3 linked regions of the Stegostoma tigrinum genome follow. The protein of the gene in region 3 purifies or fractionates together with the protein of the main gene of each other region. This does not show direct contact. Links are inferred from orthologs where the notes say so. Each region holds a gene or a part of one and is shown on either strand. Other genes may lie near its edges. The genes, in order: nck2b, pak1 and rhoub.

Evidence for each region.
Region 1: the proteins of rhoub (region 3) and nck2b purify together in Homo sapiens (co-immunoprecipitation; 3 studies listed by BioGRID and IntAct, with this or other methods). This does not show direct contact. The link is inferred for Stegostoma tigrinum from reciprocal best matches to the Homo sapiens genes RHOU and NCK2.
Region 2: the proteins of rhoub (region 3) and pak1 purify together in Homo sapiens (co-immunoprecipitation; 5 studies listed by BioGRID and IntAct, with this or other methods). This does not show direct contact. The link is inferred for Stegostoma tigrinum from reciprocal best matches to the Homo sapiens genes RHOU and PAK1.

The regions. Positions count from the first base shown.
Region 1 is NC_081359.1:64,798,932-64,809,175, reverse strand, and holds the start of nck2b (cytoplasmic protein NCK2b), read right to left. Parts: upstream 5,011-10,244; 5' UTR 4,895-5,010; intron 1-4,894. UniProt on the Homo sapiens protein: Adapter protein which associates with tyrosine-phosphorylated growth factor receptors or their cellular substrates. Maintains low levels of EIF2S1 phosphorylation by promoting its dephosphorylation by PP1.
Region 2 is NC_081359.1:105,734,348-105,744,067, reverse strand, and holds the start of pak1 (serine/threonine-protein kinase PAK 1), read right to left. Parts: upstream 4,599-9,720; 5' UTR 4,391-4,598; exon of another isoform or gene 4,264-4,390; intron 1-4,263. UniProt on the Homo sapiens protein: Protein kinase involved in intracellular signaling pathways downstream of integrins and receptor-type kinases that plays an important role in cytoskeleton dynamics, in cell adhesion, migration, proliferation, apoptosis, mitosis, and in vesicle-mediated transport processes.
Region 3 is NC_081392.1:10,789,439-10,799,908, forward strand, and holds the start of rhoub (ras homolog family member Ub), read left to right. Parts: upstream 1-6,093; 5' UTR 6,094-6,665; coding exon 6,666-6,885; intron 6,886-10,470. UniProt on the Homo sapiens protein: Binds to and activates protein kinase PAK1. Plays a role in the regulation of cell morphology, cytoskeletal organization and focal adhesion assembly during cell migration. Also stimulates quiescent cells to reenter the cell cycle.

The sequences.
Region 1 (10,244 bases), on a different chromosome or scaffold from region 3:
TTTTGAATTTCTAATTTTGCCCTGCTTTTGATAAAATTTCAATTTTTGCTCTGGATTCTCCAGTGCAGCACAGGAAGATAGCTTTATCAAAATAAACAGACTATGCTAGTTTATCTGGCTTCACAATAACCCCTAGACAAGCAGTGAAGTGGTACTCTCTTTTGCAAATGTTTCAGCGCAAAAATGAAATGGTGTGTTCTAATACACTGTGTCTTATTTCAAGACAGAATTACAAATAGACTTCATGGTCATTTGTACTCAAGTACAGGAATACATGCTTATAGAGGAAACTGTACAAAGTCGCTATTCTCTGGCACCACCTTGGCTACACGCTTGACTATGAAACTGGAATTAAAAAGCAGCAGAAATAAAAGAAACAAGCGCCAAAAGGAATGCTCTCTGATGTAGGGTCTAGGCCCGAAACGTCAGCTTTTGTGCTCCTGAGATGCTGCTTGGCCTGCTGTGTTCATCCAGCCTCACATTTTGTTATCTTGGAATTCTCCAGCATCTGCAGTTCCCATGATCTCCAAAAGGAATGAAAATGTCCAGATATTAAAGTGCAGGGGACAATTTCAAATTTGCAGGAAACTTGGAAAAACTGTAACAAACAAAACCAGAAATTCCTAGAGAAACTGAACAGGTCCAGCAGCATCTGCATTAAAAAGTCAAACATGACGCTAATTGCTGCAGTCAGGTATACAAGAAGACATCTCTGTTTTTTAGTTATTAGAGAAGCCATAGTTCTCACGTGTAGAAAATATCAAGTGGCACTGCAAGTAGTAGTAACGGCTTACTGATACCTAATGACTTTTTTCCTGGAAAGACTGCTGATTTATCTTTTCAATCACAGTTCAGCGCATCAGAAAAGCAAAATCTGAAGGCACATCTGGCAGATTTCAACATTTGAGAATCTACAATAACGGTAGACTTTCTTTCCCCACCACTGCCTACCTGCACTCACCTATCATCATTCCACCTACCTTTCCCAGCCCCACCCCTCTTCACTATTTATTTCAGAGCTTCGTTCCCTTTCCCCCATTTATGAAGAAGTGTCCCAAACCAAAACGTCAACTTTCCCACTCCTCCGAATCTGTCTGGCCCGCTGTGCTCTTCCTGGTCCACACTGTCATCTACGACTCCAGCATCAGCATCTCCGAGACTTGCTTTCAGTCAATTTTCTTTCACTTGGAACATGTAGAATAACAGACAGAAACTAAAACATGCATTCTTTAACTTATTTATTGTCATAATTGAGGCATTGTGTGTTTTTCTAAAAAACAGGAGTTCAGTCTAGTTCAGCTTTAGGTAACAGTGTATGTCAAGCCATGGTAAACCTTGATAAAGTATTTGATATTTCAATTTAAGCTAAAAATCCAAGAACGGAATCTCAAAAGTATCTTGAGCCAATGCAGAGATTACAGACATTTAAAATTCAGGCAATGTTGCAGTTAAATCAAAACTCCTAATTTGAAGATGAATGACATTTTGTCATCATAATTTCTATAATGGAGCACGTCATTTTTATTAATTTATATTACTGCTGGCCACCACATGGCAAACAATTAGGATATGGTTAATGGCAAATATAGTCTTACTCTGTATTAAAGATATTTATTCTTACAAATAGTTAATACACTCTCTTCTGATACTCTGAATTGAGACTGTATATTCAATCTTCATTTTCTACAAGATGTATGGGTACAAACATCCTGTGGGCACCTTTCCTATGTACCAGGAAAGACCATAACCGTTTGAGCAAGGTACATCAGACGAGACAATGAGATAAAATACAAGATGGGGTCTGGGACTGACCTCTCGAGTGTGCAGATCCATGGGTCACAACTCAGCAGATAACAATGATTGAGTGTTGTAACTTTGATGATCATTTGAGAAGCATTTGTGCTCACTGCAGATTTTGATAAAAATTGCCAACAAAGATCTAGTAAAATCTGTAGCACGAATTTATCATTTCCAGACATCAGTTGATTCCGGTGCCAAGCCAAGGGGACTGGTAGGTGTCCGAAAACAATTATGTCATCAAGCAGAGTAAACCACCAAACACACTAATATTCCCACAGATCACAAAACTAGTGAGTAAAATGTACTAAGATAATAAAATGTGAGGCTGGATGAACACAGCAGGCCAAGCAGCATCTCAGGAGCACAAAAGCTGACGTTTCGGGCCTAGACCCTTCATCCTATGGATGAAGGGTCTAGGCCCGAAACGTCAGCTTTTGTGCTCCTGAGATGCTGCTTGGCCTGCTGTGTTCACCCAGCCTCACATTTTATTATCTTGGAATTCTCCAGCATCTGCAGTTCCCATTATCTCAGTAAAATGTATTACATGCTTTCACTTATAAATAAAATTTTAGACGTCAAATGATTGATTGGCCCAGAAACGTGTGTTTAAAATAGAAGCTCAACTGTAAACATTCAATATATTTTTTAAAAAAGCAAAATGATGAAATTTGACACTCAATACAGAATTCATTTTTTTTCCCCCAGGGATAAGATGCTCAGAAGTAGTTATTAAGTAAACTGTTAAAAACTCAGTTATGCCTCATTCAAAAAAGAATTTTCAAGGCTATTTTACAGTGAAATTAGCAGCATAAGAAAATGAGTTTTGTTAATTCAGTGATTTTTACTTGTTACAATCTGGGGTCACATGTGTTCTACAGGAAAGCATAGCGTCACTGGCAGCAATTGTGAGATTCCTGTATTTAACTGCACAAACACACTCCAGAAGTTGTTAGTTTCAATGTCATTATTACAGTAAATCTGGGACAATGCAAGCTGAAATATAATGCAATTTCATGATGTGCCTATAAGCCTTTAGGTCAGCAAATAGTATGTTACAATCCCTATTAGATTAAGATAAAGAAAGCAATTTTAGGGAATTTAAGATTTTATTCTAGGTGCTCCCAGTTTTAAAACTATGAATTAACAATATGAATTGTTGTTATTTTAACCATATGCTTATCGTTAACACTCAAATGGCTTCATGAAACAGAATTAAGCTAGAAAACAGTGACATGCCATCCAAATTCATAATCTCAAAATGCAGTTTTGATAGTTTTAAATATTATTTGACTGAACATCTGATAATGCTTTTAATAGAGATCAAAATTGCAAACCTCTCCACAAAACTGCTTTGCTTCAATACTTATGATTTTTGCATAAATTAAATACTGAAGTCACTTAAACTCATGGAGCATCCATAGACCATGAGTGAAAAGAAACTTCTAAGCTATCGGCACTCCTAGATTGCAAGAGTTTTCACATCCTGAAATGCAAAATCTTTCACTTACATGTACCACAATCTCATTGCTAGTTTGAGGAACCACCTACATGCAAAGCATTTAACTGTCAGATTTCTACAAAATCTCATGCATCTCTTGAGATTAAGCACACAAAGCCACTAATTTTGTTGTTTCACTGGCTGAGAATACAAAAAGGGAATGGCCACAGAAGCTTGAATTTAAGCAAACAGCTATACAGACCATAACTGCACGGGCTGAAGATCCAGTCTTTATGAATTCCATTGCAAGCTATACTGGGAAAGGCAAATTAGGAATCATTGCTCTCGACTTCTTGAAATGCAAATTCCTCCTTTAAACACTGAGAAGACCAAAGGCATTACTTTGGACCTCTCTATAAGCTCCCTTCCCTCATTACCAGCTGAACGTAGCCCTCCTCAGCAAGTATCTGAAGCTGGACTAGTGTTGGGATCTCAGGTACCATACTTAACCTCTTCATCATGAAGGCCATCTTACACATACCTCTGTAACTCCTGTCTCAGCTGACAGTTCGAAATACTTATCCATGACATTACTACCCACATTGATCATTCATTCCAACATTCTCATATACTGCCTACTTTCTACCTCTTATCATAAACTTGAGCTATTGAGCATATCCATACTTGCATTAAATTCTAAATGCCTATCACTTCAGAATTTTAAATTCTGATTCTTATGTTCAGATCACTCCACAATCATTTACCTCCCCAATCTCAGTAACTTCTTCTAATTCTACAATGTTCTAAGAATTTCAGGCTCTTAAAGCACTTTCCCATTGACTTCATTCCACTATCAATAGTAATGACCTCAACTGTCTAAATACTACTTTCAAATTCCCTCCACAGAACTCTCAATGGCTTTTTACTGCTTTAATTCTCTCCATAAAATCTATTTCTGGGCTTAGTGTCTATTATGTTCCTGTGAGACACTTTGGGAGATATAGAAATGCAACTGCTGGAGTGTAGATGCTGGATCAACACTGTGTTGAACTACATTGGAAATAACTGACCAACGTGACATCTTGCCAACTATTAAAATCCAAACACAAACTCAGGAAAGTTCACAGAGGCACTTGTGAAACTAACTGTATCTCACCAGTAAGAAATAAAGGATTGCGGAGACGAAATTAAAATTAAAAAGAGAGGAAAAATAAAGCATGCATGTGGTCCAAGAGGTTCAAAAATGGACATAACTCGTTTGCTATCAAACCATCAATCCGGAATACAAAGCGGGTAGTGTTTAATGCATCAAAAAATTGGAAATCACAGCCCAACAAGTAATGTTAAAGCTCTGCTTCGTCAAGAAGGAAAAAAGAGAAGGAAATGGTCCATGTGAAGGAAGTTGTACTTTTTGGAGGTGGTGTGTTGCTTTTGTCTTTTTTTTCCTGAGGATGCTGCTTTCTGCTCTGCTCCGCACCTGAATGGTTACTGGGAAGCGAGGAGCCTCCAAGTTCGCCCAGTGACAGTTGTTGCCCGTCGCTGCCCCCCACCAATTACACCCCGGGCCATGCGCCATCGTGTACCGGGGGCAGGGCCCTGACACCGAGGCCGCCACCGCAGCGGCAGAGCCGGCAGCCCGCAAGCACCAGCACTCACCTCCGGCCTCTCCCGCTCTGCTCCTCTTCTCCAACGACTGTATATATCGTCCGTCCTTTTTTCCACTATCTCCTTTTCCTGCCAACGACTCCGAGCAGCCTCGATTCTCTCCTTTGCCCCCTCCTCTTCTTCTTCTTCTTCTGCCTCCTCTCTCGATCCCGATCCCGATCCCGATCCACTCTCCTCCCCGGATCACAGCAAATGGAATACGCCAGACGTGGCCGAGTGCGCAGAAGCAGAACCGTCTTTCCCCCGTTCCATCGCTGGGCAGGGTGCGCATGCGCGATGCCGTCCGTTTGCCCAGCGCTAGCTAAAAGGGAGGAGATGTTCGGGAACCGGCGAGTATTCCCTTTTCTTGGGCTTGCAATACATTCCTGATGTCTGTGTGTGGGGAACGCCATTTGCTGATCAATGCTGACCCCTCTTTAAAACTTCACCCAATTTTCTTCGACAGAATTCACACATGACACTTGCAGAGTTCTTCTGATTGTATCCCATACTAATAAAAGTTAAATTATTGTTTCGAAAGATGCAAATCCGAGGTGAGGAAGAAAACTTTTTCACCAAAGTCTTGGAAATCACTAGCTGAAACTGTGGCGGAGGCAGATTCAACTGCCGTGGTCCAGAGTATGATTATCTAACTATATATAAAGTGCACGGTAAAGAGGAAAATGTAGTAGTTTGACAGTAATCCAAAATGGTCAGAGAGCTGGAACAGCCACGATGGGTTGAGTGGCCTCCTGAATGGTAATAATTTTGTAATTCTGAATTGGACTTGGTGTTTGTGTTTCCCTTATATTGTAGGAGATTCAAAGAAGTCTCATTTGAATAAAGTTAGACTTTCACCTAAAGTTCTGCAGAGCAATTGGTTTAACATTTTTAAAAATTCTGAAACCTGGCTGTTAACACTCAGAATGTAGGAAAGCTCCACTCATGTGAATATTAGATATAGTAGAACTGGCTCTGGTGCCAATGAAATTTGTGAACAATTTAATGTAGAAGTTCAGACCTTTTGCCAATTGTTCAGTGGTTAAGTGAGTTGCCTGTTTTGGTACTGGGAACATAGAAGCAGGATTGGACCAATTTGCCACCATAAGTCTGTTCCACCATGCAGTTTGCTCATGGCCAAGTTTCATCTTGACTCCTTCGACCTGCAATTTTTCATAATTCTTAATGTATTTGCCTAAGAAATTTCAGAAATTTCAGTTTTAATTTTTTTACTCAATCTAAAAGGCAGAACGCCTGAATAATTTGCTTCTATATTGAGTTTTTAACACACCCCAATATTCAATTGTATTACTCTGCTATGAACATTGCTATCTTCAATTCATTGTCAAGCAAGATCATTTTCATTGCCATGATACACAATGTAATCAACAAAAGTTTGAAATAATCACACTTTTACACACAGCACGCTGGAGCTTTTTTTAAAATGTATTTTGTGCTGCAAGGTGTTCAATTGTTGCTTAATACCTGACTGTAGTACAGTAACGAATGATGTGGCATTCTGGATATACATGCCCATAACAATTTGCTTGCTAATTTTTTATTATCAATGTAATAACATAACACGTAAAGTTCATGGAAAGAAATAATAATGTTCAATGAGAAGCAGAACTGTTGTATGTGCAGGATTTCCTTATTCTTCTAGATTCAGTTTTTTTGGGACATGAGCTGTTACCTTGAGTGGACAAAATGCATAATGTAATTTTTAATACACTACAACCCTGCGTCTCTTGGTAAATGAGAATTGTTTTATGTTTTGAATGGTTTGTTTACAGGACATCAAACAATAACCTGAGCACAATGTGAACTTTCAACTCGGAGTAACATCTATGACATGTTTTAACTTTTCTGTTAATGTAGCAATGCTGCTAGTCATATGCAATGAGATTAAAGATTTGTTCACCAACTTAAAATAGTTCCCGTTGTGGCTTCCTGTACATTGGGGAAACCAAGCGGAGGCTTGGGGACTGCTTTGCAGAATACCTCCGCTCGGTTCGCAATAAACAACTGCACCTCCCAGTCGCGAACCATTTTAACTCCCCCTCCCGTTCCTTGGACGACATGTCCATCATGGGCCTCCTGCAGTGCCATAATGATGCCATCCGAAGGTTGCAGGAACAGCAACTCATATTCCGCTTGGGAACCCTGCGGCCCAATGGTATCAATGTGGACTTCACAAGCTTCAAAATCTCCCCTTCCCCCACTGCATCCCAAAACCAGCCCAGCTCGTCCCATCCCCCCACTGCATCCCTAAACCAGCCCAGCTTGTCCCCGCCTCCCTAACCTGTTCTTCCTCTCACCTATCCCCTCCTCCCACCTCAAGCCGCACCCCCATTTCCTACCTAGTAACCTCATCCCGCCTCCTTGACCTGTCCGGCCTCCCCGGACTGACCTATCCCCTCCCTACCTCCCCACCTATACTCTCCTCTCCACCTATCTTCTCCTCTATCCATCTTCCGTCGGCCTCCCCCTCTCTCCCTATATATTTCAGAACCCTCTCCCCATCCCCCTCTCTGATGAAGGGTCTAGGCCCGAAATGTCAGCTTTTGTGCTCCTGTGATGCTGCTTGGCCTGCTGTGTTCATCCAGCTTCACACTTTGTTATCTCGGATTCTCCAGCATCTGCAGTTCCCATTATCTCTGATCACTTTGTAACTTACCACTTAATTACGTCTTTTTATCAAAATTAGAATATCGTCTAAAGTTAGATGTGGTTTCGTTTAGAAGAAGTACAAAGGGATCTGGAAGTGCTAGTCCAGGATTCTCTAAAAGTTAACTTGCAGGTAGAGTCCGTGATTAAGGAAGCGAATGTAATGTTGTTGTTTATCTCAAGAGGGTTGGAATATAAAAGCAGCGATGTGCTTCTGAAACTTTATAAAGCTCTAGTTAGGCTCCATTTAGAATACTGTGTCCAATTTTTGGCCCCACACCTCAGGAAGGACATACTGGCCCTGGAGCGTGTCCAGCGGAGATTCACGCAGATGATCCCTGGAATGGTAGGTTTAACGTATGACGAATGGCTAAGGATCCTGGGATTGTACTCATTAGAGTTTAGAAGGTTGATGGGAGATCTAATAGAAACTTAGAAGATAATGTATGGCTTAGAAGGGGTGGACGCTGGGAAGTTGTTTCCATTAGGCGGGAAGATTAAGACCCGTGGGCACAGCCTTAAAATTAGAGGGGGTAAAATTAAAACTGAAATGAGACAACATTTCTTCAGCCAGAGAGTGGTGGGCTTGTGGAATTCATTGCCACAGAGTGCAGTGGAGGCTGAGACGTTAGATGCATTCAAGGCAGAGATCGACAAATTCTTGATCTCACAAGGAATCAACGGCTACGGGGAGAGTGCAGGGAAGTGGAATTGAAATGCCCATCAGCCATGATTTAAATGGCGGAGTGGACTTGATGGGCTGAATGGCCTTACTTCCACTCCTATGTCTTATGGCCTAACTCATGCTTTTTTATCTGAGTTGTCAATACCTAAGTCAGAATCAACATTTGCAAATAGTGTTTTCAGTACTTTGAAATATGACACATTTCATGGGATGATTTGCAAAACAGGCTTATCAGTGATCATTGATCTTTTTATATTGGCCACAAGAAAATGTCTGCATGTCATAAAGAGCTTTGTGCTTTCTAAATTGGCCATCACATTTCACCAGCACTTTATCTCCTGGTTTACATGGTCTGAATTGTATGGATCACGCTGTACTTATTTATATTTAATCCTTTGGTTCTTGATTGTATTCACATATGGCAGGCCAGTCTTCAGAGTGCTCGGTTTCTGGATTTCTCAATTGAAAAATAACCAGCAGCATGGTTTAAACAAGATAAAAGGTGATTTGTTCAACGAAAGTTATTTTGTTAAAATGTGATAAAAAAAAGTTATTGGCTAATACACTGATGCAAAGACTCAAGGTTAGTAAGGGTAAAAATTATGTCTGAATATGAAAATAAGGTTTGTTTCTCTTATCGCTGCAGGCATGGCTTGCAAGGTGTTCTCTAAACAGGTTGAAAACTTGGAGTCAGTTTCAGCATCTGTGAAGAACGGAATAGAACAGATCCTGGCAGTGAGCACAGACTGCTTTGTTTCACTTTTGTTGTCCTGCAGATTCAGACTCTTGACAATCTGATTTAGTATAACAATCCTGGATACCACCCTATGTCTCCATTTTTGTCTTCAGAAGATTCTGTTGAGATCTCAATGCAATGGGTGCTCACTTGTACACAGTTCAATATGTCAAAAAGACTGCCATCCCAAATTGTCAAATTACTCTTCCATATAGGCAGCACAGTGGCTCAGTGTTTAATATAGCTGCCCCCCAGTACCAGGGACCCAGGTTCAATCCCATCGTCAGGAAACATTCTCCCTATGTAAGCGTGGGTTTCCTCCAGGTGCTCCAGTTTCCTGCTATGGTCCAAAAATATGCAGGTTGGGTGGATTGGCCATGCTAAATTCTCCATAGTATCCAGGCATATGCAGCCTACATGAGTTAGCCATGGTAAATGCATGGTTACGGGAATGGGGTGGGCAGACAGGTCTGGGTGGGATGCTCTTCAGGGATCAGTGTAGCCTTGATGAGCCAAATAGCTTGCTTCTATAGTATAGGGATTCTATAATTAGACATTGGATTTCTCCCTTGGGAACATTTTTTTTGGTTAAAGTAATTTGTTTTATACCTATTTCAGCCATTAGTTTGGAAGGTTCTTGTTCTGTCAGATTTTTGGTGACATAGTAAAGTGATTTATATTGCCAGGCAAGCCACTGAAATTACTTTTTGTTTACATTTGAAAATGCTAACTTCAAAATAGTCAATTGAGGAGCTGTGCTTGCCGAGTAATTGCAAATAAAATGATAGGTCTCCTGCTTCCAAAACTTGTTCTCATCAAGTCACTTTCTTAAAGGTACACAGAATTTTCTTGACCTCTCCATTAGCTCTTGGAAACAAGGGTTTTTGATGAGTGAAGTCCACATAATTTACAAATTTATCAAACTCATTGCTGTGAAATGGAGATCCATTGTCACTTCTCACCATTTGAGGACCACTAAAACAAACCAAAAATCTCATTAAGTTTTGGGATGATTGCCTTCATTGAAGTAAATGTAACTATTTCCAACATTTAGAATCTGCTGTGATCATCAGTAATGACAAGTCAGTGTTCGCTAGTGTGCAAATCTAAAATCAACACAGCACCAGACGTAGTTGCGATGGTGAGTTTATTTCAAGCAATGTGACGACTTTGTAACATGTGAATAATTTCATTTGTAGACATTTACAATCACGTTTTTCAGCTTTTGCTTATGTAGTCATCATGCACAATGCAATGCTTCACCTTTTGTTGCT
Region 2 (9,720 bases), on a different chromosome or scaffold from region 3:
CCTCAAGAACAAATGTTGTTACACTAATTGGTCTATAGTGACTTGTCCTTGTCTTCTTGCTGTTTGGAAAGTAAGTGTTATATTGTCAGTTTTCCAACCCTTTGGGATTTTTCCAGAATCTGAGGATTCCTGGAAGATCAAAAATCAGTGCATCCATTGTCCCTGCAGCTACGTTCTTTAATATCCTAAAAGGTGTATCCCATCTTGGTCTGTGATTTTGCCTAATCTATGTCTTTGCTGAGAGCCATGAAAGATCTTCTTATACACCCACCATTGTTCCTCCACTGTCTTCACTGTTAAAACTTCTTTGACGTCAGGGATGATTAGCTTCATCCTTTTCGGAACAGAGAAGGTTAAGAGAAACTTGAATTTAAAAGATGAAAGGTTTTGTTCATAGGACAGAAGTGCTTTCATTGGATAAGTAAGGGAAGAGGAGAAACTGTTTTGGAAAAAGAAAATTCTTCCCCGTTACTTTCCTATTAGAAGCATTTCTCCGACTAAGAACAAAACCTTTCATGGCAATGGACTTCTCTTAAAATTTCTCTTCACCTTCTTTGCTCCCCAATGATTAAAGCTGTTCATCCTGTCACCAATTCTTAGAATTCACTTCCCAGCAATATCAACTTTTTTTTTCTAAAAAATGTCACTCTTAACATCATAAAACATTCCGAGATGGTTCACTTGAGCATAAAACAATATTATTGATATCATAAGGAAATAGGTCAGGCGACTAAATTATGGTCAAAGAATTCTGCTTTTGGTAGTGTCTGAAAGACAAAGTCTGAAGTGGGAAGAGGTTTAGGAAGCCCTAGAGGTCAGGATCCAGGCATCTGATGACGCAGCCACCTATGTAAAGAGGTTAAAAACAGTGATCGTCACAATATCAGAATCGGAAAGGTTCAGAAATCTTGAGCATTCACGGACCGGGAGGAGATTGCAGAGGTAGGGACATGTGAGGAGTCCCTAGAGGGATTTGAAAACAAGGAAGAAATGTTAAAAACAGGATGTAATTTGAATGGAGGTGAGTCAATTTAGGTCAGTGAACGCAAATAAAAATAAAAATGCTGGAGAAACAAGACAGGTCTCACAGAATCTCTGGATGGATGTTGCAGAGAAACAGACAGGGAAAAACCAGAGTTAAGAAAGAAGTGAAGCAAAGTATTACTCAAACTAAAATGTTTAGCTGTTTCTCTCTCCACAGATACTGCCAGACCTGCTGAGTTTCTTTCTGAATTTATTTCAGATTTCCCGCAGCCGTAGTATTTTGCTTCTATTTTAGTGAACTTAAGATTGACAGGGGAATGTGACTTTCTGCAAGTTAACACATGAAAGCAGGTTTTTCAGGGCTCAGAATAGGAGAGACATGGCTTTGAGGTAGTTTCCTTAGCTCCAGACTAGAAGACCCAGGTTCAAGGCACACCTGCTCCTGAGTTATTCAATAACATTGCTGACCAGGTTGATTGGAAAATATCCAAAATGTGGAAGACCAGCTAGCAGTGTGTGGAATAAAAGTGTCTAGAAGTAACAAAGAAGGGATTTTACAGCATGTTGTGAAAAGGATGCTTCCTCATGGGAGAATCTAAATGTAATGGGTCATAGAAATTCTACAGTGTGGAAACACTGTTTAAAGATACAGGGTCACCATTTCATAGCAGGATCATAAACTCCCTTCTGTGTGGAAGCAGACCACTCGGCCTATTGAGTCCACACTGGCTCTCTGAAGAGCATCCCACCCACACCCAGACCCCAGCCCCCTACCGTATCCCCGTGAGCCCACATACCCTTGTACACTATGGGCAATTTAGTAAGGCCAAACACCTAGTCTACACTGTGGGAGGAAACCCATGCAGACAGTAGGAGAATGTCTGTGTGGAGTTTGCACAATCGCCCAAGATTGAAATCGAGCCCGGGTTCCTGGCGCTGTGAACCAGCAGTGCCACCGTGCCACCCATTTAAGTCAGAGCCAAAGAGAAATATTTCTGAGTCACAGGTTTTTTGGAACTCTCTTCATTTAAAAACTGTAGAAGCAGATCATTTGAAACTTTTAAAGACAGACATGGATAAGGTTCTTGCTAAGGACAGGGGTGAGATATTATTGGGGGTAGGAAGGTGGCGTAGTCATTGTTGACTGGCAGAGCAGACATGCAGTGCTGAGTGGTATAATCTTGCTCCTAACCTGTAGGTTTGCATGTAAAGTCATTAAGGGCCTCAGCAGAGGAGGTGAGACAGTGACCACATTGAGCAATATCACAAAGATTAAAATCAGTGGTCCATGCAATGTCTGTACAGTGGAAGCAGACAAAATGGCAACTTTCAAAGTTGAATTGGATAAACACTTCAAGGATAAAATGTGCAAGGCTTCAGGAATTGAACAGGGAAGTGAGACTAGTCAGATAGCCTTTTAAAGAAGTGACTAGCTCCCTTTTGTAGTGTATGACAACAGTGCCAAACTCATCCAGGCCGTGCTCAAATCAAAAGCAGCAAATTATTTAAAAGGGACAAAGTGGAGAGGGAGAAATTATCTGAAGGGTCTTGACCTGAAATGTCAACTTTCCTGCTCCTCTGATGCTGCCTGACCTGCTTCATTCCTCCAGCTCCACACGGTGTTGTCTCCGACTCCAGCATCTGCAGTTCTTGCTATCTCCTAGATTTACACAGGATATCTGGTTGGCATGGACAAGTTGGACCGAAAGGTCAGTTTCCCTACTGTGTATCTCCATGACTCTAAGTGAACCTTGCTGAAATGAATGCGATTTGGCAGGAGGGCATATAAAGAAGCAGCTCCATTATCTGTCACACTAGGAAGGAATCACCAGCCCACCGTCCCCCACTGCATCAATAATGCAAAGTGGCAGACAATTAAGTAACTGCAAAATCTGGACTTGCATATTTGCCATAACAATGCCTCCATCTGAAGCATTCAAGAGCGTAAAACAAGTAACAAAAGGGACATTATTTTGTAGTTTCATTCATCAGGAAAAGAAGAATGGGTAAAAGACAGGAAAAGAGTCTGAACAATGAGACATTTCACGTAGGGCTTTATCCTGAAAATGCTCTTAATACAGTGCACTGTGAAGATGCTCTCCACTAATGACATTCAAAGTCAAAGAGGTCGGAGACACAAATGGATGAGGTATCATAGTATACAGCACAGAAACGTGTCTGGAACCAGAGTATCATTGATAAATAACAGTCACATCAGGAGGAGTTTTACTTTCCAACTACAAAAAGGTCTCAGCAAATCAAAAAACCACAATCAGCACTCTGGAACAGACCTTAATATGGAAGCTAGCAATATAGTTGAACACAAGTATTTAGTCCAAAAATATTACACCAAGAAACTAATTGTAACATCAGCAGAAAAATATAGAAGGATGTGAAAGTCACCACCGAAGAGTGCAGCAGAAGCAGATTGAAATTGTGTATTTCAAAAGGTAATGGGTTAGTATCTGAAGAGGAATAATTTGCAAGGCTATTTTGGGAAAGGGACGCGAGTGAGAACAGGTCGAATAGCCTGCTTCTATGCTGTATCTATTCCAACATGCCACAAACGTAAACAGTATCACTTCAACGGGATTTGGGACAGACAACAAAGCTGTTAGATGAAAAGTATGCAATCAAGGAGATAATGCAAGATCTTTTATCAACCACAGGTTAGGTTGGACAGGGCTAGGGTACTCTCGTCCTAGAGAATGGGCTAGAAATGATACCAAATGAGTGAGTGAATCTTCTTCTACGAAGTAACTGGAGGATCTGTGATTGCACGGCTATGCAGAGGAGGCTGGCTGAGATATGAAAGAGGGAATCAAAATTATGAAAAAGTTTTTAAACTGAGTCAATAAGGAGAAAGTGCTTCCAGTGGTAAGAATGATCACTGAACACGAGACACATTTGACAACGGAAAATTGGGCAAAAAGAAAACGATGAAAGCATTTATTACCTAAAATTAGAACGAAAACAGAAAAATAAATTCCCGAATGACTTAGCTAAAAGGGCCGCGTGGAAACAGCAGGGAAATCAGGACAAATTGGACAACTCCGCCCAAGGGCTAGTACGGGAGAACTGGGCGGAATGGCAAGGGTTTTCAGAAGCACACGACATTCTACTCGCGGCCCGCGCGCCGTTTCCATAGTGATGGTCGCTAAGAAACGGGTAAGGGGGAAAAGCAGTGGAGGAGGCCGCGCGCGGTTGCCCCGGTGACGGTTGCCAGGAGCCCGCCGTTACCCTGGCGACGGCTCCCTGGGAGCGCGCGGTTGTCCCGGAGACGGTCGCCAGCAGGCGCGAGGCGGGGCCGGTTCGCCAACGTCCCTTGGTTGGACGGTTCGAATCTGCCGTTCGAAGTCAGTTAGGGTGAAGGAGGAGGAGGGGAGCCGAAAAACACGTTCCTCACCTCCCGCCGCCCGCTGACGAGAAGCTGGGTAAGTGGCCTCGTTCGCTTCCAAATGTAGTCTCTCGCGATGTCGCTGTGATCCCGGCGGCGCTGCTGGTTTGTTCTTACGCTCTGTTTCTATCCTTCACTCCCCGCTGCCCGGTGCTGGATGCCGCTCCTCTCGTTGTCAGGCCGGCCGGCTCAACCTAACCTGCCTAGGTCCGCCCCACGTGTTCCTACTTCCTATTGGTCCCCACGCCCATAACACCGGCTTCAGTTGGCTGTAACCCACGTCAATCAAAGACCATCCCCGCCCCCTCGTCACGCAGGTTTGATTGACGAGTGGACCGGAAGTGGCTTCGCTTCATGATCAGCGCATTACATCATTGCAGTTTCTTAAAGGGCCAGGGCAGTGGGTGTGTTTTGAAACTATTCCTCTCTGCAAGAATTTAGGCTAATAGCAGAATGGTGCAGGTGCTGACATTCGCAACCATCTGTAGGAAAATTCACCAAAGATCCTGCAACAGCACTTTCAAAACCCACAAACATACCAAAGAACTGCAGATATTGGAAAGCAGAAACAAAGACAAAAACTCAACAAATCTGGCAACAACTGTGGAGAGAAGCAGAGTTTTCAGGTCCCCTGACTCTTCTTCAGAACATTTCAGTTCCCCTGACTCTTCTTCAGAACATTTCAGTTTTGTTCCTGAAATAATTGCACAGAGGCCAGTGTCCTATCACCAAGTCGTCCCGAATTTACCTGTATCAGAGATAACTGCAGATGCTGGAGAATCCGAGATATCGGGGGGCTGATTCTGAGCTGGCTGGCCACAGCCGACCGTGCACAGGTAAATTCGGGATAACAAAGTGTGGAGCTGGATGAACACAGCAGGCCAAGCAGCATCTTAGGAACACATGTTCATCCAGCTCCACACTTTGTTATCCCAAATTTACCTGTGCACGGTCGGCTGTGGCCAGCCAGCTCAGAATCAGCCCCCCTGACCTGAGGAGATTCTGAATCCCCCGTTAAAATTGGTCAGCTAGTGGCTCCTGATTGGCCCAGTTTAAGAACCACAGTCAAGGTACTCATAGTCAACAAGGTCCATCTGGTCCAATCACTAGAGTTCCCTCAAAACTCACAACCAGTTCCATTGTGAAGGACGAGAGCAGCAGATACATGGTCACACCACCACCTACCAGGTCCCCTCTAAGCCACTTGCCATCCTGATTCAGAAACATATTGCTGTTTCTTCAGTATCACTGAGTCAAAATTCTGGGATTCTCTCCCTAACAGTATTATGGGTCAACCTACGAAAATGAAGTGCAGTGGTTCAAGCAGACAGCTCATCACCACCCTGTGATGGGAAACTGGGGATGCACAATAAATGCTGGCCCAGCACAAGTAAATAAAAAAGAAAATCTGATGTGAACAGTTTGTAATGGAATTATTCGCTAGGTCTAGGAACAGAGTTGACATTTGATCAATAACCCTGCATTATCATGGTGGAAGATTTGCAGGACAGCAGTCTTGCCATGTAGACAAAATCAGAAGTCACATGACACCAGGCTATAGTCCAACAGGTTTATTTGAAATCACAAGTTTTTGGATGGCTGCTCCTTCATCTGACTGAGATTCATAGAATCCCTACAGTGTGGAAACAGGCCATTCAGCCCAACAAGTCCACACTGACTCTCCAAAGAGCATCCCACCCAGACTCACCCTCATAACCTATTCCTGTATTTCCTATGGCTAATCCATTTAAATTACACATCTCTGAACACTATGGGCAATTTAGTAAGGCCAATCCACGTAACCTGCACATCTTGGGGAGGGAACCAGTGCACCTGGAGGAAATTGACACAGACACAGGGAGAATGTACAAACTCCACACAGACAGTCGCCCAAGGCTGGAATTGAACCCAGGTCCATGGTGCTGTGAGGCAGCAGTGCTAACCACTTAGCCATCGTATCGCCCACCCCAATCCAACACCAGCACATCCACATCATTGCCAAGTAGACAAAGCAATGGTTGGCAGGACTACACCATCGCCATAGTGACAGCTGCCACTAGTTGTGGGTCCAGGCAACTTTGCCAGTAGTTAATAAAGTGTGAAGCGGGATGAACACAGCAGGCCAAGCAGCATCTCAGCACAAAAGCTGACGTTTCGGGCCTAGACCCTTCATCAGAGAGGGGGATGGGGTGAGGGTTCTGGAATAAATAGGGAGAGAGGGGGAGGCGGACCGAAGATGGAGAGAAAAGAAGATAGGTGGAGAGGAGAGTGTAGGTGGGGAGGTAGGGAGGGGATAGGTCAGTCCAGGGAAGACAGACAGGTCAAGGAGGTGGGATGAGGTTAGTAGGTAGGAAATGGAGGTGCGGCTTGAGGTGGGAGGAAGGGATGGGTGAGAGGAAGAACAGGTTAGGGAGGCAGAGACAGGCTGGGCTGGTTTTGTGATGCAGTGGGGGGAGGGGATGAGCTGGGCTGGTTTTGGGATGCGGTGGGTGAAGTCCACATTGATACCATTGGGCTGCAGGGTTCCCAAGCGGAATATGAGTTGCTACCCCCTTTGTCTGTAGGAAGTGGGAGGAATCGAATGAGAAGTTGTTGAGGGTGAGGACGAGTTTGGCTAGGCGGATGAGGGTGTCAGTGGAGGGGGGCTGGTCGGGCCTGCGGGACAGGAAGAAGTGGAGGGCCTTGAGGCTATCTGCATGCGGAATACAGGTGTATAGGGACTGGACGTCCATGGTGAAAATGAGGTGTTGGGGGCCAGGGAATTGGAAGTTCTGGAGGAGGTGGAGGGCGTGGGTGGTGTCACGGACGTAGGTAGGGAGTTTCTGGGCCAAAGGGGAGAAAATGGAGTCCAGATAGGTGGAGAATAGTTCGGTGGGGCAGGAACAGGCTGAGACAAAGAGTCGACCAGGGCAGGCAGGTTTGTGGATTTTGGGAAGGAGATAGAAACGGGCCGTGCGGGGTTGGGGAACAATGAGGTTGGAGGCTGTGGGTGGGAGGTCCCCTGAGGTAATGGGATCATGAATGGTGTTGGCCTGCCCTGGTCGACCCCTACAGCAGGGGCAAAAGCAGGAGCGTGTCCTGGTCAGCAAGAACCAAGTAGTAGCTGTAGTGCAACGGTTTCACCTTGCTTTAAAGAAAATCTAGATGCAGTTTCTTGCCATGGTTGGACTATATATAAAACCATCCTCCATGAATGGGCATCAGATCTTGCTTCTGTACATGAAATATTTGGGCTTACACTTTGGCCATCAGGCAATACAGAAAGGGTTATCTTTCAGACATTAAACTGATGCACTGTCTGTTCTCTTGTAGATCTGACAGATACCATCGTTCTATTTTGCAGACGAGCAGAGGATTTCACCCTAGAAGGCCTTCTTGATCAGTAGTTACTGACCTGATGTACAACTCTGTTTCGTGTTCCACTGATACTGCCTGCCCTTCTGTGTTTCCAACATTTTTGTTTTCGTTTTCAACTTCTAGCATCTGCAGTATATGAACATACAAGTTAAGAGCAGGCAAGGGCCAATCTTGCCTTGAGCCTGTTCTGTCATTCAGTAAAATTGTTACTGATGTAATTGTCCCCTATACCCATCAACCCCAGATAAATATCCTTTTGCTTAACAAGAATCTATCTACTTCTGTCTCAAAAATATTCAAGAACTCACTCCCACAGTCTTTTGAAGCAGTTTTCCTGTATTTTACTACTGTTGCAGTTAATCCTCACCATCCAGCACTCAACGAACAATGCTGAGACAAACTATGTGAGCTGTATGTCAATGCTGTTTGTAGGAGATACTTGTGTATACGGCATTTGGGTTCAGGACAGCTATTTATACCACAATACAAACAATGGAAACAGTCCTTCAAATATATCTTGTTACCAACAAAGAATATTGGGATGATATTCTGAAAGACTTTGTAGAAAATCCAAGTGCTTTCTGATGGAAAGGTAAAAATATGTAGTGTTCGAATAACTTTCATGTAAATCGCTTTCCTAATTACTTCTCGTAGGGAGAATGTTCAATAGAAACCAGTGGTGATTACATTAAGGGATTTTCAAACTCCTCACATGTTAGTCTTGGCAACTACTGCACCAGGTTGAGCTCTTGTACAACTGAGGCAACTTTATTAACTTTGCAATTGGTCAGTTGCTCAGAACCTGAAGATCGTTGTAAAGAAAGACGCATTACCAAAGCTTTGCATTGCTCTCATCGATAAACAGATACCTATGATATTACCACTGATTTGTACCAAGAAAGGATAGATCAGGGTTTTTTTTAAAAGGCACGAGGTTAAATAAAGAGTCCAACAGGATTTGGGGGTTTAGATACATAGCACTATAAAATGTACGAACAGGCACAGAAAATGGTCAACAAGGCCAATGGAATGCTGGCCTTCATATCTAAAGGACTGAAGTATAAGGACACAGATGTTATGCTGCAGTTGTATACAACTCGAGTCAGACTCCATTTAGAGCACTGAGGGAAGTTTTGGGCATCGCACCTTCAGAAGGATGTTTTGTCCCTGGTCAATGTAGGTTTCCAAATATGATACCTGGATTTCAAGAGTTAACTTTTAAAACAGATTAGACAAATTAAGCCCATATTCCCTAGAATTTAGAAGGTTAAAGGGTGATCTAATTGAGGTTTTCAGGATATTAACAGGGAAAAACAAGGTAAGCAAAGAAAAACTATTTCCACTATTAAGGATTCTAGAACGGGGAGGCATAGAATAAGAATTTGTTGAGACCATTCAGGAGAAATGCTTGAAAGTATGCAAAGAGGGTCGGGACCGTCTTCCTCAAGTGGTGGTCAGTGCTAATTCAGTTGTGAGATTTAAATCTGAGATGAATACACTTTTATTAAGCAAGAAGATCAAGGGAAATGGGCCCAAGGCAGGCATATGGAGTTAAACCACAGATCAGCCATGATCGTTTTGAATGACAGAGCAGGCTCAAGGGGCTGAATGGCCTATTCCTGTTCCTATGTTAGTTCCCTTCTAACCACTCACTAACCTTCTTTGGACCTATATTGCAATTCCTTCACTGTCAGTGGGTCAATATCCTGAAACTCCCTGCCAATCAGCATTACACCTCAAGAACAGCAATGGTTCAATAAATCATCTCTCACACTACCTTCTCAAAGACAGTAACTGCTGGTCCAGCCAGCAACAACTACATCCCAAATAAAAAGGAAGAATGCCAAATTTCGTGGCATTTTTGCATATTTCTTGACAATTGCAAAATGAAAATTTTGGCAACATACCTCTGTCTTCACTAAATTTGCAAAGTATTTTCCAATAGTGCTATTTCTAAATCAGCAAAAATTATATCTATTCAG
Region 3 (10,470 bases):
CATCTAAATGCCACTTTATGAGTGAATTTGAGGCTGATGGCCAAGTGGGGTAGGGGATGAGGAATATGGGTTCAAATCCCACCATGGCGAGAAATGAATTCGATAAAAGTCTGGAGGTAAAAGCCAGCCCAATGTGCTGACCACATTGACCAGTCGTAAAACCCCATCTGGTTCACCAATGCCTCTCCTAAACCAGTCTGGCCTGCATGTGACCCCAGATCCACTCTGATGCAGTTGACTCTCAACTGCACTCTGCTGGACGTGGGCAACTAGTGCTGGACTAGTAGCCTGCGACATCCTACAAATAAGAATGCATCAAAAATAGATGTTGTTTCTTTTGCCTATCACCTTAAACCTGTGCCCCCACACCCCCAACTCTTCCAACCCCTGTACTGCTGAAGTATAGAACACTGGTTCAGTCTCAACTAGAGTATTGTGTCTAGTTCCATGTGATGTGAAGGTATTGGATCCCAGTGTAGAAGAGCCTTACAAAAGCAGTTTCCGAACTTTGGTTACATATGCACTTCGGAGAAGCTGGATCCAGGCAGCACCCCCCCCCCCCCCCACCGCCCCCCCCCCCCCACCCCAGGACAGAGTCAATGTTGAGACGAGATGCCAAATCTTCAGATATCAGGATGGAACAGTTAAGGAAAATCTTTTCATATTAGCTGATGATCCAAGACTGACAGAAAACACTGCTTTAAATCTGGGGCGAGAGGTGGGCAGGGAATTGTAAACAGAATCTTTTGACTTAGCAAGCGATAAGGACATCGAACTCAGAGATAGTAAGAGCTGCCGATGCTGGAGTCAGAGATAACCCAGTGCGGAGCTGGATGAGCACAGCAGGTCAGGCAGCATCAGAGGAGCAGGAAGACTGGCGTTTTGGGTCAAGACCCTTCTCCAGAATTCTCAGGGAAGGGCAGCAAAGGATGACACATGGTTTCAAAAGGAAATTGGGTGGGATCTGGAGGGAAATGGATTTTCAAGTCTACGGGGATGGACCTGGGAAATGGGAGTGTTCTGAGCTGAGTTAGCATGGGCTCGATGGGCTGAATGGGCTGCTTCCAGATGTTCTACAACAGATTATGGTTGTCACATCAATTTCAGCGACACAAATTGTTATCTCTGAAAATATCAGCCTTGAGAACATTGAAAAGTGGTAACGGTTATTGGTTTCTCCCATAGTTAAGGGGGCATTTAGCACGTTTGCCTTCATTGCTCAGACCTTTGAGTATAGAAGTTTGGACGTCATGTTAAGGTTGTGAGGGATGTTGCTGAGGCCTCTTCTGGAGCACTGTGTCCTGTTCTGATCACCCTGTTATAGGAAGGATATTGTTAAATTGAACAGGGTACAGAAGAAATTTACCAAGATGTTGCCTGAAATAGAGGATTTGAGATATAATGAATAGACTGGAGAGACTGGGTTTTTTCATTGGAGCGTAGGACATTGAGGAGTGACCTTCTCGAGGATTATAAAATCATGAACAGCATAAGTAAAGCGAAATACAAGGACCCTATCCTTAGGGGAGGGGTTTCAAGAATAGGGGCATATCTTTAAGGTGAGAGGAGGAAGGTTTTAAAAAAGGACATGAGGAATGGTTCGTGTGCGGAATGAACTGCCAGAGGAAGCAGTGAGTGTGGGTACAGGTACAATGTTTATAGGGCATCTGGATAAGTCTATAAGTAGGAAAGGTTTGCAGGGATACGGGCCAAGCACAGGCAGGTGGGACTAGTTTAGTTTGGGATTATGGTCGGCATGGAGGTTCTGTTCCCATGCTGTACAACTCTATGACTCTATAACTGATAACTTACCCAACTCGCAATAGCTGTGAGAAATTAATCAAAAGAGATCTACTGTGACCAATTATAAAGATATCAGCACGGGAAATGGTGAACTCAGTGAAGTACATCTGCCTGGAATTTCCTATTTCTGAATATCTGTAACACACAGGGATGGATATAAGTGACCTCATTCATGCCAGCTATGGTTTCATCCATGGAACAGTTCCTCATTGTCTTCTTATCAATCATTTTATTCATTGGTGGGATGTGGGTGTCTCTGGCTGGACCAGCATTTATTGGCCATCCTTGGTCATGCTTGAGAAGGTGGCGGTGAGCTGCCTTCTTGAACCCCTGTAGTCTGTATAGTGTAGGGGCACCCAGGATTTTGACCCAGCGAAACTGAAGGAATGGCGATATATTTCCACGTTACGATGGTGAGTGACTTTTTTTTAAAATGTAGAATGTCTACAGTGTGGAAACAGCTCCTTCGGCCCAACAAGTCCACACCGAACAAAAACAGAAGTTGCTGGAAAAGCTCAGCAGGTCTGGGAGCATCAGTGAAGGGAAAAAACAGAGTTAACGTTTCAGGTCCAGTGACCCTTCCTCAGAACTCCACACACCTACCCTTGGACCATCCCACCCAGACCCATCCCCCTATAACGCACCTAACCTGCACAACTGTGGTACCACAGGCAATTTAGCACAGCCAGTCCACCCTGACCTACACATCTTTGGGGAGCACCCAGAGGAAACCCACACAGACACGGGGAGAATGTGCAAACTCCATACAGATTGTTGCCTGAGGGTGGACTCGAACCCAAGGAACCTGGCATTGTGAGGCTGTGGTGCTAACCACTGAGTCACTGTGCCACCCTACAAAACCAAAGTGGAGAATGGAGGCATTTGGAGGGGAACTTACAGGGGGTGGTGTTCCCATGTATCTGCTGCCCTTGTCCTTCTAGGTGGAAATGGTTGTGCGTTTGGAAGGGGCTGTCTGAGGATCTTTGGTGACCATTTGCCATACGTCTTGTAGATGGTACACACGGCTGTTACTGTGTGTGGAGGGGGTGGATGTTTGTGGATGTGTTGCCATTCAAGCAGGGGCTGCTTTGCCCTGGATGGTGTTCAGCTTCTTGAATGTTGTTGGAGCTGTCCCCATCCAGGGCAAGTGGGGAGTATTCCCTCACACTCCTGACTTGTGCCTTGTAGATGGTGGACAGGCTTTGGGGAGTCAGGAAGTGAGTTACTCACCACAGGATTCCTGGCTTCTGGCCTGCTCTTGTAGCCACTGAGTTAATGTGGTGAGTCCAGTTGAGTTTCTGGTCAATAGCATCCCTCGGATGTTGATGATGGGATATTCAGGAATGGTAATGCCATTGAGTGTCAAGGGGTAATGGTTGGCATTCTATTTTTATTCATTCACGGGATGAGGGCATCGCTGGCTAGGGCAGCATTTGTTACCCATCCCTAATTGCCCAGAGGGCAGTTAAGAGTCATTGCTGTGGGTCTGGAGTCACATGTAGACCAGAACAAGTAAGGATGGCAGTTTCCCACCCTAAAGGGCATTAGTGAACCAGATGGGTTTTTCCCGACAATCAACAATGGATTCATGGTCATCATTAGATTTTTAATTCCTGGTATTTATTGAATTCAAATTCCACCATCTTCCATGACAGTATTTGAACCCATGTCCCCAGAACATCATCTGAGTCTCTGGATTAACAGTCCAGCGACAATACCACTCGGCCATTGCCTCCCCTCACCTGCCTCCCCTTACCTTCCTCCCCTGGATTCTCCCTTGCTGGAAATAGTCATAGCCTGGCATTTATGTGGCACTTACTTAAATGTCACTTGTCACTTGTCAGCCCAAGCCTGGATTTTGTCCAGATCTTGTTGCATTTGAGCACGGACTGCTTCAGTACCTGAGGAGTTACAAATAGTGCTGAATATTGTGCATTCATCTGCAAACATCCCCATTTCTGACCTTATGATGGAGGGAAGGCTATAGATGAAGCAGCTGAAGCTGGTTGGGCCTAGGACACTACCCTGAGGGATTCCAGCAGAGATGGCCTGGAGCTGAGATGACTGACCTCCTGTAACCAGCTCCCTTTGCGCCAAGTGTGACCCAAACAGTTGAGAGTTTTCCCACCTCATTGTGCCTTGTAGATGGTGGACAGGCTATCTACATTGGCACCAGTTTTTCTCCAGCTCCTTGATGCCACACTTGGTCGAATGCAGCCTTGGTTTCAAGGGCTGTCACTCTCACCTCACCTCTGGAATTCAGCTGTTTTGCCCCTGTTTGAACCAAGGTTGTAATGAGGTCAGGAGCAGAGTGGCCCTGGCGGAACCCACACTGGGCATCACTGAGCAGGATATTGCTGAGCAGGTGCTGCTTGATAGTACTGTTACTGACACCTTCCATCACTTTATTTATGATCAACAGAAGACTGATGGGGTAGTAATTGGCTGGGTTGGATTTTGTGTACTGAACATACGTGGGTAATTTTCCACATTGTCGGGTAGATATCAGTGTTGTAACTGTACTGGAACAGCTTGGCTAGGGGAGCGGCAACTTCCGGGGCACAAGTCTTCAGTACTATTGAGGAATGTTGTCAGGGCCTGTAGCCTTTGCAGTATCCAGTGTCTTCAACTGTTTCTTGATATCACATGGAGTGAATGGAATTGGCTGAAGACTGGTAACTGTAATGCTGGAGACCACTGTGGGAGGCTGAGATGGATCATCCACTCAGCACTTCCGGCTGAAGGTTGCTGCGAATGCTTCAGCCTTATCTTTTGCACTGATGTGCTGGGCTCTTCCATCATGGAGGATGATGTGGGAAATGGTAACGTGAGATTGAAGAGCAAACTGAGAGAATCAGCCAACACCACAGGGTGGATTATAGAAAATAATTTCCATATAATTTGATACTGTATTTGTAGATACAATACAAATACAATATTTGTATTAGTCCTAAACTCTGGGTGATCACCAAAATCATTTTGACGGGAAAAAAAATCACTTTAAAAAGTTTTAGCAGAACTTTTCTGTTTCTTGATTTCCATTCATATATCAGTGGAATATGTGGATTGGAATCATTGCTACCGTTCTGAGGAGGAATCAGAGACTAGAATCTAATATAAATCAATGAATTTGAAAGGTAAACAAATGAGTGAGAGAGAAGGTAAATGAGAGAGAGAAGGGGGGATAATTAATGAATCAGAAAGAGAGCAGGTTGAAGAGCACAAGAGAGCAGGTTCAGGACTGAGAGTGCTGGTTAACAGAACAGAAAGCATAGATTAAAGAGATAGAAAGAGAAGGTTAGAGGGTGGGAGAGAGATAGGATAAAGACTGAGAATACAGGTTACAAAGTGCAACAGAGAGCAGGTTAAAGAATGAGGGAGAGCTGATTAATGAAGCAGAAAGTGGAGATTAATGAGGTAGAAAGTGCAGGTTAGAGAGCAAGAGAGCTAGCAGAATAAAGACTGAGAGAGCAAGCTATAGACTGAGAGAGAGGGTTAAAGACTGAGAGAGCAAGCTATAGACTGAGAGAGAGGGTTAAAGACTGAGAGAGAGGGTTAAAGACTGAGAGAGCAAGCTATAGACTGAGAGAGGGTTAAAGATTGAGAGAGAGGGTTAAAGATTGAGAGAGGGTTAAAGACTGAGAGAGCAAGCTATAGACTGAGAGAGGGTTAAAGATTGAGAGAGAGGGTTAAAGATTGAGAGAGGGTTAAAGACTGAGAGAGCAAGCTATAGACTGAGAGAGGGTTAAAGATTGAGAGAGAGGGTTAAAGATTGAGAGAGGGTTAAAGACTGAGAGAGCAAGCTATAGACTGAGAGAGGGTTAAAGACTGAGAGAGCAAGCTATAGACTGAGGGTTAAAGACTGAGAGAGCAAGCTATAGACTGAGAGAGAGGGTTAAAGACTGAGAGAGCAAGCTATAGACTGAGAGAGGGTTAAAGACTGAGAGAGCAAGCTATAGACTGAGAGAGGGTTAAAGACTGAGAGAGCAAGCTATAGACTGAGAGAGAGGGTTAAAGACTGAGAGAGCAAGCTATAGACTGAGAGAGGGTTAAAGACTGAGAGAGGGTTAAAGACTGAGAGAGAGGGTTAAAGATTGAGAGAGGGTTAAAGACTGAGAGAGAAGGTTAAAGATTGGGAGGGGATTAAAGAGTCAGAATGAACAGATAATTGGATGAAAGAACAGGTCAGAGAAGGAGAGAGGTTAATGAGTGAGAGACCAGGTTAATGATTGAGAGAACTGGTTCATGAGTGAGAGTCAGCAAGTTATTGAGCAAGAACAGTCTATTGTACAGCCCCATTTCGATTCGGGGTGCAGAATGGGTGGTGTAGTAATGTTGGCAATTTTTTTTTTAAATGTCACTTTTCCCCTCAACCCTACACCTTCCTCTTCAGCGTTTCACCTGTGATGCTGAGCTGTCCCTTTAAGGGGTGGAAGCTGTGTGGGAGGTGCAAATGTTGCTGAGTTCTGTATCTACCCGTTTCAAGGGAGGCGGTGACTACCGGGTGAGAGGTTTATAAAACGAACAGTGCGGGGAGAGAGAGAGAGAGTGTTTGAAGTGTGTGGTTTAGAGGCGGAAAGAAATTAGGCTGTTGTGGGGCCGATTTGATTACTGATCGCTCCCCCCCACCCCGTGTCAGTTTCAGTGAAACTGATAGGACGCGGAAAAGTTTTGCCCAAACTTTTCAAAAATTATTTTTCGTTTTTTCTTCCCCTTCAAATGATTTTGGTGGTCCTCCAGAATTTGGAACTAACTTCCTAGGTGTTTTTTTTTGCCCGGTCTTGTGGGGGATTTTTGTTTTCTTTTGAATTTTGAAAAGAAAGGAAGTGAAACATCTCTCTCTCTCGGTGTGAGAGACGGCGATGCCCCCCCAGGACTTACTGGACTATCGCGCGGGCTTCGCACCCCCGGTGCCCCCGCACAAACCCAAGCGCAGCGGCCGGGCTGCCCGCACCCAGGAGCGGTTCCTCAAGTGCGTTTTGCTCGGAGATGGAGCGGTTGGCAAAACTAGTTTGGTGGTCAGCTACACCACCAATGGTTATCCAACAAAATATGTACCCACTGCCTTTGACGATTTCTCCGGTAAGCTATAACTAATCACTTCAGAGCGTTTTTAAACACGAGAAACTTTTGTATATTTAGTCCTTCAAGAACATATCTATGGGCTGAAGGGTCGCTTCTCTAATGTGTGATATTATGTATATGCATTTATGTATCATCATTATGCATATTCATGTGTGCACACGTTTCCTGTATATGCTATACTAAAAGTTTTTAATTATAATTTTAAATGAACTCGAGTTTTATTTTTCAGTCAATTGCAGATTGCCATTCCATTCCAAACATGCACCAAAAGACTACGAGCTGATTAAGATTTTGTTAGCATGGTTACAGGGTTGTCTATGGGACGACAAGTGTGTGTGAGAGAGAGAGTTAGCGTTAGCCCTGGGGGAGCAGGCTTGCACTGGGTTCCAGTGTTGTATGTTTTCACTGTTTCGAGTTGTACCGCTAACGCTGAGGACTGCATTTGGGGGTCTCAGCGTTGTTGGTGGGACGTGGAAAACTTTCAGATGGGAGGGCTGAGTGTGACCCTTGGATAATTGTAGGTAAAGTGAACTTGTGCACTGTCCCCCATCAAGCACTCCTAGGGCAGGGACAGCACAGGGTTCGATACAGAGAAAAACTGATAGTTTTTGTACAAAATCTACCCAATTTGCTATTTCACCCCTTGGATTCGAGGCATTGTAGTACAGGAAGAGGCCATTCAGCCCATTGAGTCCATATCCACTCCCTCCCATCAGCCCCATTTCCCCCTCCCCCTCTAATCACTCTGTCTCTTCACTCCCATGGAGAGTGTTTGTTAGTTTTATCTGGTGTTGCACAAAGACCTGTGTGGCCCTGTAAACGGAGCTACTAACCTTGATCATTTTTAATGACCTGGTTGTTATCGATACTGCATTTAGAAAGATCCCATAAAGGAGGGAAAAGGGCAAGTGGGAGAAACATGGGAGAGAGAGAGAGGGAGGGAGGGGTGGGGGCTGAGAATGATCAGGAGGTAGAGTTGAGATCATGTTACATCAGCTTATTAAGAGTCTAGTTTGAAGGACTGTTGGCTGATAGTAAAACTGAGAGAACTGTACTGTTAAGTGTCGGAAGAAAGCAGTGCAGGGAGCAGGGAGAAGGTGGAAGAGAATTTATTTCACTTCAGATCAAAAGTCAATTTGCAATGTATTATTTGAGAAGGAAGCAGCTATTGGAACAGAAGAATTGGATAAATACTCAAAAGGATTTGGGGGGAGGGGGGAAGCATAGAGGGTGAGGAATGATCTGGAGAGCTTTCAGTGAGCTAGCAGGCATGATGGGGCTGAATGGCCTCCATCTGCACTGTTAGATTTTCAGTGAATGCCAAGACCACAAGACAGGAGCAGAATTTGGCCATTCAGCCCGTTGGGTCTGCTCTGCTGTAATTGAATGGTTGGTAGGTTTCCTGACCCTCATTCCACACAAGATTTCCTCTGAATGCACAGGTGTCTAATTCTGATCTGGAAAATGGGAATACCAATGGAGACAGGGAGAGGGAGGAGGAGAGTGTGTATTGAGGTGGGGGAGGGGGGTGGTTTCCTTAATTCACTTTATGGGATGTGGGTGGCCACTGGCTAGGTCAGGATTTACTGCACATCCTTAACGGCTCTGAGGAAAAGGGTCCTTGGAGTGAAGGGAGTTTTGGTGAATACAGTTGTGCCGTTTGTCTCCAAGATCAAACAGTGCAGAATGAGGAATTGGGTCGAGAAAGAACAATGTGACAAACAGAGATAATGGGAACTGCAGATGCTGGCGAATCCAAGATAATAAAGTGTGAAGCTGGATGAACACAGCAGGCCAAGCAGCATCTTAGGAGCACAAAAGCTGACGTCTCGGGCCGAGATGAAGGGTCTAGGCCCGAAACGTCAGCTTTTGTGCTCCTGAGATGCTACTTGGCCTGCTGTGTTCATCCAGCTTCACACTTTATTAATGTGACAAACATCAGGTTTTTGCGACCCTGGTTTAGGGGATAAGTGTTGGGACAAAGCCCCTGCTTTTTCTTTGGAAAAGCTCCGCAGGCTCAATTCCTTTCTCCTGAGCATGCAGCATTGCCTCCAAAAGCCAGTACCTCAGACAGTGTGGCACTCCCTCGATATCGCCTTGCATGTCAGCCTAAATTTTGGTTTCTAAACCCTGAAGTGGGACCCGAGCTTCAAGCCCTGCTATTCAGACACTCGACAGTTCCAGGGAATTCATCAGCTGCATGAGGCAAGACATTCAGGAGAGGGGAAAGACAGCGTATTTAAACAGACAGATTTTTCCTGTGTACAAGCCTGGGCTCCCTGGAGGTGAGGGAGGGGAATGTCTATTATCTGAATGATGCCTCACCTTCCCCAGCACTTGTCCCTTTCTGTTAATATCTATTGTTTGTGCACTTCATGTCCAGCAATTTGACAATGGAAAAACGCCTGAACGTATCTCTTTGTTTGAATCCTGTTTTTGTTTCCACTAAAATAGATACTTTTCTGAAAGTATCTAACCTCTGGAGTGTAATCGCTGACCTTGCATCCTGTCTCGATGCCAACATTGTTTTAGAGAGACAAGACAGCATTTCAATGTCTGTCGTGGGTTTTTTGTTTTTTGTTTGCTACATGATATCAGTGCTCACTCCTGGAGTCCTCCACAGGGTTACAACTGTATACAGCCTTCTGACCTCGTCTAAACTGTACTAAATTTCATTCCAGTGACAGACCTGTACCCATCAGTACTGTACCCCAGTGTTATACAGTGACAGACCTGTCCCCACTGGTACTGTACCCCAGTGTTATACAGTGACAGGCCTGTCCCCCACCGGTACTGTACCCCAGTGTTATACAGTGACAGACCTGTCCCCCACCGGTAGTGTACCCCAGTGTTATACAGTGACAGGCCTGTCCCCCACCGGTACTGTAACCCAGTGTTATACAGTGACAGGCCTGTCCCCCACCGGTACTGTAACCCAGTGTTATACAGTGACAGACCTGTCCCCCACCGGTACTGTACCCCAGTGTTATACAGTGACAGACCTGTCCCCCACCGGTACTGTACCCCAGTGTTACACAGTGACAGACCTGTCCCCCACCGGTACTGTACCCCAGTGTTACACAGTGACAGACCTGTCCCCCACCGGTACTGTACCCCAGTGTTACACAGTGACAGACCTGTCCCCCACCGGTACTGTACCCCAGTGTTACACAGTGACAGACCTGTCCCCCACCGGTACTGTACCCCAGTGTTACACAGTGACAGACCTGTCCCCCACCGGTACTGTACCCCAGTGTTATACAGGGACAGACCTGTCCCCCACCGGTACTGTACCCCAGTGTTACACAGTGACAGACCTGTCCCCCACCGGTACTGTACCCCAGTGTTACACAGTGACAGACCTGTCCCCCACCGGTACTGTACCCCAGTGTTACACAGTGACAGACCTGTACCCCAGTGTTACACAGTGACAGACCTGTCCCCCACCGGTACTGTACCCCAGTGTTACACAGTGACAGACCTGTCCCCCACCGGTACTGTACCCCAGTGTTACACAGTGACAGACCTGTCCCCCACCGGTACTGTACCCCAGTGTTATACAGTGACAGACCTGTCCCCCAC